Alligator mississippiensis: one gene and its partner. The protein of the gene in region 1 interacts with the protein of each later gene in a pairwise test. Links are inferred from orthologs where the notes say so. Each region holds a gene or a part of one and is shown on either strand. Other genes may lie near its edges. The genes, in order: ESRRG and PNRC2.

What was found.
Region 2: the proteins of ESRRG (region 1) and PNRC2 interact in binary tests that used the Homo sapiens proteins (3 or more experiments, as listed by UniProt). The link is inferred for Alligator mississippiensis from reciprocal best matches to the Homo sapiens genes ESRRG and PNRC2.

Annotation. Positions count from the first base shown.
Region 1 is NC_081824.1:186,318,850-186,326,937, reverse strand, and holds the start of ESRRG (estrogen-related receptor gamma), read right to left. Parts: upstream 3,206-8,088; 5' UTR 3,076-3,205; coding exon 2,969-3,075; intron 1-2,968. UniProt on the Homo sapiens protein: Orphan receptor that acts as a transcription activator in the absence of bound ligand. Binds specifically to an estrogen response element and activates reporter genes controlled by estrogen response elements.
Region 2 is NC_081829.1:4,429,566-4,436,912, reverse strand, and holds the start of PNRC2 (proline-rich nuclear receptor coactivator 2), read left to right. Parts: upstream 1-4,166; 5' UTR 4,167-4,259; intron 4,260-4,434; exon of another isoform or gene 4,435-4,912; 5' UTR 4,913-5,118; intron 5,119-6,028; 5' UTR 6,029-6,046; coding exon 6,047-6,472; 3' UTR 6,473-7,347. UniProt on the Homo sapiens protein: Involved in nonsense-mediated mRNA decay (NMD) by acting as a bridge between the mRNA decapping complex and the NMD machinery. May act by targeting the NMD machinery to the P-body and recruiting the decapping machinery to aberrant mRNAs.

The DNA of each region.
Region 1 (8,088 bases):
CCCAGGTGTACCTCTCCCTGCCCCCGCTGCAGCTCCCCCTGCCACTTCCCTACCTGCTGCCTGGAGTAAGCACTGCAGCAGGGACACAGGAGGAGCTGCTGGAGGCCAGGAAAGCCGAGCAGGTCCCCCAGTGGCTGCAGCAGTGGCAGCAGCCCTGCCCAGAAGCTGTGTGCTGGCTAGGCTGGGGCCCTTCTGCACACGAGGGTGGGAGTGAGGCTAGCTGGGGTATAATTAGTTGGTGGGTGCCCATGGGCTGGATGACATTGTCTGTTGCTCCCTGGTTTAGGAGCACTCAATTGTTAAACGCTTATAAAAAAATTGCTGCGCTAATGTGAACTGAGGTTTTTTTGGAAGACTTATAGTTTGGCCATATATGGGCAAATTTTCACAAAAAGTTCACTCCTAACATAGGGCAACCCCTCTGTCAAATTTAAAGTCAGTGTTCAGGATGGAGATACCAAGGTTCTCCACAAAAACCTTGTATGAATTTAACATGGGCAAAAACCTATTTTTTTCCCCCCCCCCAACATCACTGGTGAAAATGACTGGACCATTTTATCTATAATTACCTGGCCAAGAAAAATCCAACTGGAGTAGTTAAAATCTGATAGGATTATTAGCAACTGAACCTGGGGTCTTCCAGGCTTAGCAAGTGGTGGTGCAACCAGCTTCAACTACAATACATAATCTTGAAATAAAAACTAAAAACAAAAAATGACAGTTTTGGCTTAATGCGTGTTTCCTTTGATCTGATTTTATACAACATAAATCATAAATCTTCAAAAATTATGTTTTTATGATCCTACTAGACAAAGAGATAACTTACTGTGTTGTTTTCCTGTGATGAGGAATAATTCAAGTTCTTACCCTGCCTGATTAATCTCACAACTAATATTTAGAAAAGGTTTCACTTAGAGCTGATCAAACTTGGCAAAAGTAATCTTCAAACTATGCCACATTCACTGATTTGTAAGATTTTTCAAACTTCTGTTTTATTAAGTGCAGTTTAAATTAGCAATAGCACTAAATCCACTGGCTTATGACTCCCTCTGAAGCTTACAAACAGCCCATGGATCACATAAAAGAAAGCACATGCAAATCAAGATTATGACACACTGATCTCATCCAGATTGCCATTTCAGCAGTAAAAGCTTAATTCAGTGAAGTCCTTATGCTCACATTATTTTGCATTCCAGAGGTTAGTTGCTCATGGTTTGGAATGGATGAAGACAGCTCTCTGTTTTGCATTTCAGCCCAGGTCTAACAACTAATCCTTGCACTATTTGTTCAGAGAAGCTACAGTTTGATGAACAGCTCATGGAGCTCTTCACTAGGATCCCGCAGTGGGAGAATCAGGCCCTGCTGGGACAAAGTGGCTCTGAATATCATTACCTACTTTGCAAAGGGCAATAGCAAAGAGCAAAGACCTCCACAAACTGCTGCCCCTTAGAGATTCTATTTTTGCTAACCAAACTTTGAAGGATTCAGCTTGCCTTCACTTCACTGCCTTTAGTTCAGTAAATATCTTCCTGCAATAGAACAGGCAAATCCCACAAATAGCCCCCAACATGTATGTGTGAGAGGGTGTAAATGAGAGATTTGCTTATTAACATTTCCCTATCCTTCTGCAAAATCTCAATGGAGTTAAGGAGCTTCATGATCATAAAAGGGACAATGCTATCGTGGACCTAACTCAAAAGAGCAATAATGGTGTGGCCCAGTTGTTATGATGTGTAGAATTGACTGGTGTTACGGGAAATATGCAAATAACATAAAAGTCTGCCTTAATACTGGTTAATTCTTTCTCTGTTAAGGGACAGGCATTTCAAGGGAGTTTTGCAAGTATGATGGTCCAAAATGTCTTAGTTGTGACTATATGACCTCTTAGCACTGAATCAGGGGAAACAGAAAAAAAATACCACTATGCTCAAAGAGTTCTGAAACCCACTAACTAGATTCAGCTAGTATTTATTAATATATAATTTCCTTTTATTTTTGCAGACAAGCATGGCTACTAACAATGAAATATATTCCTGAATATATTCACTCCAGCCAAAGGGAGAAAAGAAAAGTCTGGGCACAAATAAATACTAATGCTAGTAATGGAAATATTCCAAAAGAAAAAATCAATCTTACAGATTATTCTCGATATCTTTAATCACCTTTGTCACCTGGGTAAATAATATTCTAAGCTACTGATTTGAATGCCTGCTTCGTATCTTCATGGTTTATTGCAAGGTGAAAATTGTGTCTGAAGGTAAGTATTGTCCCGATGCAAGCATATAAAATTACTTTCTTTTAATGAAGATTCAAATATGCTGGAGACCAGCAAGGTAGCTCCTTTCCAGACACTGCCAAGGGATTTCTGAGCGTTTGGTAAAACACTCTATCTGGGTACAGTAGACTATCAGTGAGTTATTCTATTTGTTTATATAAATGGGCCAATGCCTTTTGAAATACTTCAAAGCACTTAACTAAAGCAAACAAGCACTTGAACTTTAGATATCTAACAAGAGGAGCTATTGACAAGTATGACTTTCCTTAGTAAATCTTAATATCTTTGGGAACTATAATTCATATTGTCTCACAGCTCTGCATGAAGGAACACATCAGACTCTTATCTGAACTTGGGCTCCACAAGACTCACAATAAATGTGAAAAACAGAAGTGCTACTGCCTGCCCCCATTATTATTTTTATTCCCCTTTTACTTTCCCAAAAATGACAACCCTGGAGCCCAATAACATCATCTACAACACAAGTCATGGATACGCATTACATCTGTGGTGCTATATATGGCCCTATTACACACAGGAACTTCTATGAATCACTACAGGTAATGTGTGGACAGTTAGACGTAGCATTATAGGAGGTCTCCTGGTTCCCAGTATCCCATAATGCTGAACTTCCCCTCCTCTCCCTACCCACCAGAAAGAGAAGGAGAGTGGCCGTCATAGGGCCAATGCTACCTTGGTGAAGCAGCAGCGTAGCGTTGCTGGGGGGATTCTGCTGCCACCACTAGCAGTGGCACAGCTGGTGCCCACATGATGCATGCTGTAGTGCCAAAAATGAACATGTGTCCTTGGGCAGACCTTGCTGCTTCTTCTGACACCTGATTTCTTTAATTGTAGACGTTTATATGTTTTTTACCCTTTTCTAGAATGCATGTGTTCTTGGATGGCCATCCTAGGTACAACTTCATAGATATTTGATGCATCCCTATCTGTAAAAATGAATTTAGAAGGAATTAGAACATTGTAAGTCACTACTTTTGTTTACTAAAATATGACAGCACAGTTTGTATTTAACCTAAGTTGTTCTCCCCATGTCTACATTTGAAAGTTTTGAGCCAGCCAAATTATATTCTCACTTAACAACGTGTGCATCAGAGATGAATATTCAGAATTACTCCTGAACTTCAGCAGTATCAATGAGAACAGAAATTGGCCCTTTAAATAAAATGTCATCGGTTTTGTGAACCTACTAGACAATTCCTGGTCACCTCTCACTCCTGGTAACTGTGGTCTAGGTGGTTACACTTTTACCAAATATTTTTCCAAAAGGTGGCTAAACGGCCAGCTTATTGAGCTTCAGAAGTTCAAAGTTCAGTCAGTAGTCAAGTTTCTGAGCAGTACTTTAACGTGTTTAGCTATTTGTAAGTGTTTACATTTTCTTTGCAAACAAAAACCAAGCAAACAAAAACTCAGGCATTAGCTAAAATCACAATGAGCTTTCTGGCTTAGAATAGTAAGATCTGATCCACATATCCATTTTTGCTTTATGTATACTTCAAATATGTCAAACATCATACCGCTTCTTAGCTGGACACGGTCAAATCAGGTTTACTATTACAAATCATCTCTATTCCAGTATGAAACAGTAGAGATTTTGTGGCATGGTGGTTATGGCTAATTTTTATCTGGGGAATACCAGGAATGTAGACCACATGGCTAAGTACAGACAATCAAAAGGCCTGAGGCGGAATTGATTCAATGTTTGCAAGTTAGTCTAAGCTGCGGAGATTGAACCAAGAAGCAAGTGAACAGACATTCTGGAAATGCAGTCACATGCCTGCAGTGACTTAGGCTAGAAGCTGGGGGCTGCTAGCAGCCTTCCCTACCCTTTAGCAGTGGCCAGAAGGCTAGGGGGAAGCTGGGAGAAAAGCCCTCCAGGCTTTTCCTGCTCCCTGCATGAGCAGAGTGGGGGTGTGGGCAGGGGTGCGCCTGACTATGGTTATAGAGAGGGGTTTAAACCTGCAGGGACCCCAGCCAGGATGCCCCTGGGGTGGAGGGAAAAAGCAGCACCTGCCAGGCTTTTTCCCTACTCCCCACTGAAGCAGAGGAGGGGGTGTGGCTGGACCCTGGCCCAGGCCAGCATGCTGAGAGGGAAGAGGGGGGTGGGTTTAAATTCCCTTGCCTGCACGGGACCCCAGCAGGGGTCTGCCTGGCAGGGGCACAGCAGCCACTTCCAGGCTTTTCCCCACGCCCGGCTCGAGTGGAGGGGGTGGAGGCATGGCCAGATGCTGTCCCTGAGCCGCATGCTGAAGCAGAGGGGAGGGACAGGGGTTCAAAGCCCTCTCCCTCCTTCAGCCTGGGTCTGCCTGGCAGGGGCGCAGCAGCCCCCATCTGGCTTTTCCCTGCGCCTCGCTTGAGTGGAAGGGGCACAGGTGTGGCCAGATGCCAGCCCTGGGCTGGCACCCTGAAGCAGAGGGAAGGGAGAGGGGATTTAAACCCCGTTCCCTCCCTCAACCCAGGAGGCCCAGGCTGAGAGAAGGAGAGGGGTTTAAACACCCTCTTCCTCCTCCCTGCTTCAGGATGTAGCCTGCGGCCAGCATTTGGCCATGCCCCCACCTCCTCCGCTCAAGCGCAGAACTGCCTGGCAGGGCCTGGAGCTCCCTCTCCCCCTCTGCCTCATTCTGCCTGCTTGGCCGCAGGGTCAGGCCACCTGCCCTTTCACCACTCCAGTGGCGAGTGGGAGAAAAGTCTGGCAGGGGCTGCTCCAGCCCTTGCAGGGAGACCCGGCTGCCTTCTGAAGCCAGATTTTTCCACCCCCACCCCCTTCTCAGCTAGCCAGAGCAGTAATAGTGCTCTGGCTAGGGAGCAGACAGAACAGCTCAGCCCAGGGCTGCAAAGCATCCTGGGATGCTGGGGGACTGTGACTTAACTTGAACCAGGAAGGGGTCTGGGACAGAAGTTCCATAAACTGGTTTGACCTAAATCAGTTAAGTCTGATACTGCATTAAACCAGGTTCATCTTAAACCAGCTTCAGCCATTTTGAAAGTGGTTTATGTGCACTGACTTTCTGTTCTGTTACAGGTTTAAACCGGTTTCTGATCACTTAAACTGGTTAATGTGTAACTTCTGTCCCTTGCCCATGAGTACAAGTATGTGACAGCTAAAAAGCAGATGTTTGAGACACACCTTTCAATTCAACAGCAGGTATACTTCATTCTACATAATACTAGAACCCCTTCTCAAAGCACAGATAAGAAATTTCATTCTGGATTTGTTCACCATATGCAGTGTTAAAAATGCTTAAGGAAGCTCAGTGAAAAATCCTTTGCATGCCCCTAATTGTTGCAATTTCAAAAGGAGGCAAATTATATTTTGCAGGTGATTTAGGTGTCCTGAGATTTCACAGCGCTGGTTAAAGGAAGCTGTTATTCTTTAAATAGCATAAAGTGGGGTTAGTGGTAGCATGGGTGTATTTTACGTGGGTTTTCAGACTTCAGTTAACTAACTGACTAGAGAACGGTTGAAACTGCTTGAATCAGTAATGTAACATGAGGTGAGCGAAAGTGGCACATGCCCCAGACACCACCTAAAGGGAGGGGCACCAGAAGGATGGGGCAGGGGAGGGGTGTTCTCAACTGTAGCAAAAGCCTAACCACAGTAGGTCTCTAAACTGTCACAAAAGTAAAACCGGTCCTGAGTAGAATAAATTTCTGTTTCAACCCACAAAAGATCATTTTTGTAAAAAGATAAACACATGTTGATCTAAGAATACAATTTCACCCTTTAAAATGACGAAGTATGGTTTTTTTGTTAGATTTATCAAGAACTTCAGTGTTACAGGGCAATACCTGATGTCTGGTCAAGTGTCTTGCTGTTTTTCAAGCACTGTTCTGTTAAAAAAATAAAGCTGTATTTGAGTGCAAGAACTCCTCAGTGATAAAATGCAGGTCTAGGCACAGTTCCTCAAGGAAATAGCTTTCAAAAATCTCTGAAATACTCTGTAAGTTATAATTGGGTTTTAATGCATAAAACGGCTGAGTAATTTAAATGTTTGGAAAAGAAAACAGTCTTTCCTAGAGTTTATGAAGTGGCAAGCCTATTTCTTATAACGATTAGCTATGAATCATCACTTCAAACATGAGCATCTACTAGCATATGCTCCATACAACTGATGCTGTATAAGTCCAAAGATTTAACAAATTAACATTTAAGGGTTGATTCTGATCTTAATCTAAATCTTTTATACTAACAGTATTCCACTGATTTCAGTGGAATTATCCCTGGCGCACACTAGAAAATAGTAAATGAGATCAGAATTAGGCCTTTTCACTGGCTGAGAGCTCCTACCACATATTTTGCCCTATGGAAAGAAAACAGAAATATATATAGATATATTGAGAAAGTGGGTATATCACGACATTGTCATGGGAGACAGACAGCAACAACAACAACAGAAAGGTAACATAACACTCATTATTAAAAATGTCATAAGGAATAAATACATATTAAAGGGAGAATGAAATGAGCTAGGACCGCATAAAGTGTATGTATGGTTAACAATATCCCAAATGGCATGCTATTCTAAAGCACAGATAAAACAAGAGTAAAACAAAAGATAATATAATAGAGTTTGGAATACATTGCAAACAAGCAACAAGATCTAATTATTTGGAAAGCTCTCCAAGATCCTGTGGCTTTGGGTGAACTTAATTAAAGAGAAGGGAGAAATTAAAATGGAAAGGAAAAATCAGACTAGATAGATTGAGAGAGAAAAAGAGACAGACAACAGGACACAGGAAGAAATATTGTATCATTTTCTACACCAGAGTAATTCAAAGGTTCTATGAGCATTTTTCAATATTACAAAAATGCAAGATATAGTTTTAACATCTTGAATCCAGAGCCTCCCCCTCTTTCCAAATGTGGCACCTTAATTTAAAATATATATACAGTATACTGCTTGTAATTTATAACTATATCCATTATCATGAGTAATCTAAAAAAAAATGATGTTTTTAATTTCATCTGGAAGATCTTAAGAGCTGTAGTTATTCTGATTTCCTAAGAAAAGCTCTATTTCCCACAGTACCTGATTTCTGTAGATAAAAGTACTTGCTCTAGAAAACGTATACTGATCTCAGAGCAGAAGAGGTAGCCCTGAATTAATCCAGGTCCAATTAAAAGAGGGTTTAGAAGATTAGGGCCAGAACCTTTCGTTCCATCCAGTATTCCATGACAAACTGATAAAGAAACTAAGAGAGAAACTTTGTAAGTTGTGTATGGGTCCTACATCTATGTATGGCAACACCTATTTCCGCTACCTTGCTAACAAGGTCCTGATCCCGCAACTAGACCTGGCCAGATAGATCCCCCACAGGCCCCACAGAGTCAGCACAGTCCCATTACAATTATCATTTCCTTGTGTGAGCTCAGGAGAGTCTGTTCCTACAGAGAAGCTTCCAAAATTGAGGGCAAAGTCAACTTACTTGACAGTTTTTTCCCCAGTTTTACCCAACTACATAGCCTTTTGGACCAGACAATGGGTGCCTCTATGCATGACGCTATGTCACCATAACAACACGCTACAGCGCTGGAATGTCCACGGGTGTCTACACATGACCAGCAGTTACTTTTCCACAGCAATAGCAACGAGCTCCCTGGGTATAGCATGCCCCAAACAAAGTAGCTGATAAAAATAACTGTGCACCACCTTATTTAGTTAACTTAATGGAAGTACTAAATCACAGCACAGTAACGTCACCATAGCGACATGTGTAAATGCACCCAATCACTACCTCACATAGTCTCGAGGACAACAGTTAAACCCACAAACTGAAGAAAAGACTTGTTTTAC
Region 2 (7,347 bases), on another chromosome or scaffold:
ATTCACTTTCCCTTTTGCTTCTAATCTGTTTAATTTTCCAGTTCTTATTAGGAGTTTGCATAAGACAGGGCACAATGGAGAGCTAGGGTACAACTGGAGACTGGCCCCAGCGGTCATTACACTGAAGTAAAGGAAGGACAGATTAGGAGTGGGTGGAGGTTTCTTGGGTTTCATGATTTTATCATTTTTGAAAGCCCCTCATTTATAACATCTAGGAGCAGTTCAGTTCCTGGATGCTAAAAATACCGCGAGGACAAATCTTTTATTTCAACATGAATGGGCCCTTGAGGCAAAAGACAAGCCTGTGAAAACCTAAGCAGAAATACCAAGTTATGCGATTTTATTAATGTTTTTTTTGTAGAACACAATGACACAGCACAGCTGTGTTTTTTTATATGTAAATTAAATTATGAAATCCATTCCACTCATGCTGTGTTAGATTTTAGCATTTAAAAAAAAAAATCTAATTTTGAGAAATAAAAGCTAGTTGATACAGGCCCTTCAGACAAGTTTCTAAAAGTACATGATACAACTGCACAAGGAAATAGAGGAAGGAAGCAAATCAGTTTTATTAAGTTGTCAAATAACTTACTAAGGGATGTTCCATAGCATGGAAACTGAAAACATCTGAACTGCAAAGCCATTCAGAGTAATTAACTTGAACTTTTGTGCTCTAATTAATTATTTTAAAGCCATTCCACTATAAACAGGTTGTGGGATATGTGAGAGCAGGGAGTGAATAATCCTATTAAAATGTAGAGAATATTTTTCTCTTGAGCTAGTATGGGAAACTCTGATATCAATGGTACAAGTTCTGGTTTGCCCAGATAATGAAATATGCAGTTTGGCTGAACAGCTCACTACTTAGTTCAGATCCAGCTGGGGAAACGTTGGATGCCAAAGTTGTTTCAAATATGCTGAACAAGTAAATTCTTTTAGCTGTTTACATGACTATTTTTGTCTTTCAGCACGAAGCACTTATCTAGTATGAAAAATTTACTGTTCAAAATGGAAGGAAGGAGCTATGGGATTCAGTCTGGAGCTTAATCAGAAAAAAACATGAATTTTAAAAGGGTCCGATTCAGAAGAGACGTGTGGGTGTTTCATTATAACTTTGAGAGCACATATTTCAAGAGGGAGCTTGAAAAGCAGTTAAAAAGAAAATACAGTATGTTCAATGATACGAGTATGGGAAAGACCTGAGGCATGCTAGACCAGGAAATGATTAGGAAATAGTTGTTTAACTAGTAAGATAGGCAGCAATATATACAGTTTGAATGAATCCCACGGGGACAGTCCTTGCTGGATACATGTTAGAGTGAAGACACTGTTTGTGCTGAGTAGAAAAAACAATTACAAATACCAGAAGTAAAATGTTCACGTGATAGGACACTATTTGTAACCCTATTTTTAAATGTTTTTAAAGAGGATGACCTGTTAGGTCACGTGAAAACAGCTGAAGGATGAAACAAAATATTTAGCTAAACTTTTGTTGATTTAACAACTTATATTTATATCAGATAGGAAAAAAATGTGAACCCTCACGCTTCAGCACATTGCCTAGATTAGAAATAAACACCTTTTAGGGGTGGAGTATTTTATAATTGTGCATTATGGGGGTGTTGCACTTTTTCTCTAAAGCAGCTGTTTTTTGCCACTACTCAAGGCAGCATGTTCGGTGATTTGATCCTTCGTGGCAGTTTGCTCACTTCCAGACCAGCTCCTATATACAAGTGTGTAGCAGGCTGAACATAGAGAGTGTCGGCTTTTAATATTGCTGTAATGCTTCCCAAGTTTGCTTATGAACAGAAATTGTGCAGTTTGGATTTGCCTTTTTTTTTCCTATCCACTCTGACACCCTATTAGAAAACCAGACTCTTCTTATTCTATTACCATAAATGCCTCCCTAATGAGAACTATTTACATACAGGTGGTGACCCTGAATATAGAAAGACACTGCATTCTGTTCAAAAAGGATCATTGTAATGCTGAGTCATAAATAAAAATGAATATATTGATAACATTACAATTGATACCGCTACAATTCAGTTCTGGTCCAGTTCAAACGAGTTATCTGTCCTTAGGTATTGCCAGAATCAAAGTGAGTCCCTTAAAAGAACAGAACCTTAGACAGACCGAGCCTACAATAGTTATAGAGAACTGAAGGCTTCTTTTATATCACAGATGAATTAATCAAATGGTATTTAATCAACATGAAGTTGATACACATGTGATCAGTGTATGGTCTCAATATCCAGAGCTTGCATCAAACGCTGTATTTCTCATGCATGTTTGTTTTGAGGACAGATCTCAGACACAGAACCTACTATATTATTTGTCTCTAGAGCAGCTGGCAACTTTATTGGGAGTCTTTACTCATGTACTTGAAGATTAAATTATACTCAGACTCGTGCCAATTTAGAGAACTCAGATGGTGTCATGGCACTTACTCTAGATTTATTGCAGTTTGGGCAGAATTTGGCTTTAAATCAGGATATAATCTTGGATACTTTCTTGACCAAAGAGTAATTCCTTTAGTTTAGGATGACACACTTCAAAGCAAGGCTACTTATGCCCAGTTGTGGTGGTGGCGGGGGGAAACACAGGGGGTAGGGCTGCTTTGTTTGTAGATGTTAGTGCTCACTCTGGTAAATTTGGTACTATTAACGGGTGCTAAAATAAAAGCCCTTAAATATATTGCTTATTAATTATTCTGTGCGAGTTCAGCATTGATACTTGAAGGCAAGTTCAAAATGATTTCAACAGAACAAAATCATTTAACAGATGTTGAAGTGTTCTGTAATGTAAATAGCAAGTACAAACATATACCAGATTGGGATTATGGTTGGAAATAGCTAGGCCCCGGAGGCTATGTGCTACATAACATCCTCTCTTTGGCTTGTGTGGAGTACTAGATGAGTTTAGACATGCGGAGAGCTGGGGTCACATACACTTAATATGCCTTTCCTTTTAGCTGGCAACACGCAGAGTTTACAAAAACATTTTAACTTTCATCTGCTCAAAATCAGATTGTGTATTGAGCGTACAGCTCTGCCTACACTACCATAATATGCTTTAGGAATAAGAGCATTTACAAGAGAGAGTTGGGAGATGGTTATCTGCCGAACACGCATACTCAGAGATCTCTTTCCTCTTCCGAGAACGTGGTAACACTTATTTTTGCAAAACTTGTTACACCTCTCTATTGCTCTCCCTGAACGTATGCTTGTTTCAGAAAACATCCAGAACCCGACGATCAATCAAATAACACAATGGTTCTCCGACACGTTGAGTCATACTTGTTGAGAAATACTGTGTTGTAAGTTTATTATGCGTATCGCTGTGAGTAACAGGGCTGTCAACAGCCACGCACGTAACGAAAACCGGAGTGCTGTATAGCTGGGTGGCAAGGCACCAACTCCACACGGGAGGGGGATGGACTAGGGGCAGAAGTTACACCTAAACCGGTTTAAGTTGTCAGAACCTGGTTTAAACCTGCAATACAACAGAAGTTCGGTGCAGGTAAACCCGTTTCAGAATGGCTGAAACCGGTTTAAGATAAACCTGGTTGAACGTGGTATCGGACCGAACCGGTTCGGGTCAGACGGGTTATGAACCGTCTCTCCCGGACCCCCGAGCGCGTCGTTTTTGCGCTCTTCGACGCCGCTCTCAGCTCCGCCGCTTTCACGGACGCGGGAGGCGTTCGGCTTCGCGTCCTAGCTGCCGGTGTCAGGAGACGGTCTGGGAACCAAAACAAATCTCTTCTTCTGAAGGGGACAAGTAGTTTCTCGCCCTCCTGGCTTTCCAGAACGTGGGCCGCCGCTTCCTAACAACTCAGGTGCTTGAAGACAAAGAGAAAAAAAGAGTTTTTGTTTTGTTTTAAACCAGTTCCCCCTGCTCTTTGTGGGAGGGGTGACCCATCTTCCCCCCCTCCCCAGTGCCCAGGGCAGGGGGGGGGGGGGTCTCCTCAGGAAGGGACGACGCCCCCCTCCCTACCCCTCAGCGCTCCCTCCCCTCCCCCTTCCCGACAGGCTCCGCTCCCAGGAGCAATTCAAACCGCCACCGCCAAGCCCCGCCCCTTCCTCCCCTCACGCCCCAGCAACAGGCGGACCCGGCTCCTATTGGCCGGGCCCGTGATGCGCCGCGCTCCTATTGGCTCGCGCCGCAAGAGGGAGGGGCGGGGGGAGCCGCGGCCGTATAGAGTACGGGGAGGCGGCCGCCATTTCGTGTGGGAGCGAGCGAGCGAGGGGGCGGCCGCGGTAGGAGTCCGTGGAGCGGGGAGTGAGCGAGCGGCGGGGGTGGCTCCGCGCATAGCGGAGAAGCGGCGGGACCGGCTGCCCGAGGCTCGGTGCAGGCGGGAGAGGCGGGCGGGGTGGGCGGGGGAAGGAGCCGAGCGCGGCCGCCATGTTGTGCCGCTCTATTGTTGGGGGAGGGGTCCGTCCCGGCGCTGCCCCGAGCCCCCGGGGCTGGGCCCCGCCGCGGGCGCCGCGCCTGCGAGTGGCGCTGGAGGCTCCGCCCCCTCGCGGACCCACGAGCGTTTCCCGCACGGCCGCGGCGTCAACAAGTGGATCAAATGCTCGCATCGGAGCCCGAGGAGAGACGCGTTTCCGTGCGCTGCGCCAGGCCCTCCCTTGTTTGTTTAATTAAAATGATGATGATTATTTTGTGTGTGAAGAAACAGTAAAAACGCAGCCTCACGGAAACGAGAGCGGCTGTGCAATGGCCCTACGGAGGATAAATGGTCTTGGACGTCGTCCGTCTTTTGTTCGCGAACTGTCTTCGCCCCTTTGTCTGGGGCGAGGGAGCGTGCCCTGCCCTGCCGGGCACAGTTTCAAACCCAAGACATTTTTCAGCGATCAGCTGTTTGTTTTCTTTTTCCCCGCCCAGGGTCAGTTTTCGCTTCTCTTTGCAGCTGGGACTTCTCACCTGGAGCCTGTTTGCTGAGAATCCGATGTGGGGCTCGGCTTCGTGGCTGGACACGGCAGATCGGCCCATGAAAACGTCTATCCCCAGCCAAAGGAAGAGGTCCGGCAAAAGACAGCACCTCCTTTTCCAGGCTTGGCAGCAGAAGAGGGGACGGGAGGTGGCGGCGGTAGAGTCCGAGAAGAAGACTGAAAGGTAACGGGGAGAGCGGAGCACGAGCCGGCGTTTGGCCGTTATGTCTCGGCCAAAAGTGCTTTGGGAAGTAGCTCTTTGAAATTGCGCTGAAGAATTCAAATGCTTCTCACTCTTTTCATAGTCTCGCATCGTTATATGAGCACCCTCCAATAATTTTGCTGTGTTTTTTTTTTTTCTTTTTCCCCCCACCTCCCCAGGGAGAAAATAGCATGTTTTGATGATGATTATTACTATTATTTATTCTAATTTTAAAAAGTCATAGCAGCCTCTCTTTATTCGTGAAGGCAAGTGGCACAGGGCTGTTAGCTTGGGGGTTTGTGACTGCGGTTTTGATTGTTCTGAAGAGGTTTTTTGTAGAATTAACGCTGAAGTGACCCAGGTCACTCCACTGTTTTCTGGAAAAATAAAAGGTAGCATTCTGATAAAACAGCTGTTCTGGAATGGTCAGCTGCGGTCCCTGTGTAGAGGTTTAGGCAAAGTTCACTTATCACCGATTGTGGATGTTCTAGTTCAGCCATGAAGGGGCTGAGCTGTTTACAGCCTTTCTACCTAGCCAGCAACTGCAGACTGTATCATTCATGGATACTGCGTGAGGACTTAGTGTGAAGAAACACTCCTGGGCTGTGGACTGATTTAAGCAATCGCAGTCCGGATGCACGTTCTTGATTGAAGTGTTTCCAAAACAGGACTTGACAGTGTTTGTTCTGTGAAGCGCTGGGCTGTCTCAGTGACAATAACAGTCTTCTGTTGTGAAGGGCAGGTAGTACTAGAGGTCACCGAACTCCAAACATTTTGTTTTAACATTGGAATGCATTCATTGAATTAAGCTTGAGTTAGTTTAAAAAACAAAACAACTAAATGAAAGGCTCTCGTGGAACTTCAGTAAGTGTTACCATTCCCTCTCAAACAGGTGACATTGAAGTTGAAGATGGGTGGTGGAGAAAGATTCAACATTCCAGTTCCCCAGCCTAGAAATATTAACAAGAATCACCAACAACTTAAAAACAGGCAAAAAAGCAAAGATCAGAATTCTCAGATGAAGATTACCTATAAGAAGAAAGAAAGGGGGCATGGATGCAACTCATCATCTGTTGCATGGCAGGCCATGCAAAAAGGAGGAAAGAATGCTGTGCACTTCCAAAATAATCAGAATTGGAATCCTGCTTTATCAAGTCCCAACACACTTTTTACATCTCGAACCAATCAGAACTATGCTGGAGCAAAATTTAGTGAGCCACCTTCACCAAGTGTTCTTCCTAAACCTCCAAGCCACTGGGTACCTGTTTCTTTTAACCCTTCTGATAAAGAAGTAATGACCTTTCAACTTAAAACATTACTAAAAGTCCAGGCTTGAGAGAACTTGAAACACATTTAAAATTACAGGGTTTCAAATTTGAGAATGAGTCAAAATACATAGTTCCAAAATGCACTGTTTCTCATGAGATTGCTTTGTTGCATATAAAAGTTGTGTCATGACGAGACACGAGGACTTTTCTTGAGGATCTCAAACTTCCACCTCATTCAGGTTTGGTGCATTTTACTGTGAAAAACGTATTTACTTACCATTATGCAACCTAATCAGTTTTTTCAGTGGCTATTAATGCCTGCATTTACTGTATTGGTCTTAAATTGAACTGTTCTCAAATTTGAAGTAATGCTACTTAAAAAAGCTGGGTATCTCAGTGGGTAAGAGCTGCTGTTATAAAACCAACTTTTCTACAATGTAATGCAGCAATAGAAAGAGTATGCAACTTACAGAACACTATGAAATCTTTAGAAAACAGAACTACTATCTTTTACACTTAAAGGTCCATCAGTCACATGAAGTCTTTTTAAGGCTAATTAGCAAGGTTTTTTTCTAAGCAAGCCTCTATCTGGCTCCAGTTGTATCAGTGAATTTTTACTTGGCATTTGTCAGTCATCAGTTGACAGGGCAGACTAACATCTGAGCCTGTGACCAAGACTTTGACTTACTCCAAATTTTAGGGGAGGGGGGTGGTAAAGAAAGTCAAAGGAAATAACATCTTGAGCTTTATCAAAATATAGCAATGCATTTATCTAGAACCTGACCAAGTTGAAGTGTGCCAACTAATGCAGCACTTTGCAGTGCCAGGTGACTGCTAAAAACTTTTACAACCTTTCCTTATTTGGATTGCACTGAGCAGCTTTTAAAATGCATTTTTGTATTGGTTTTATATATCTGAAAGAACAGAAATTAGAGTTGTTCAG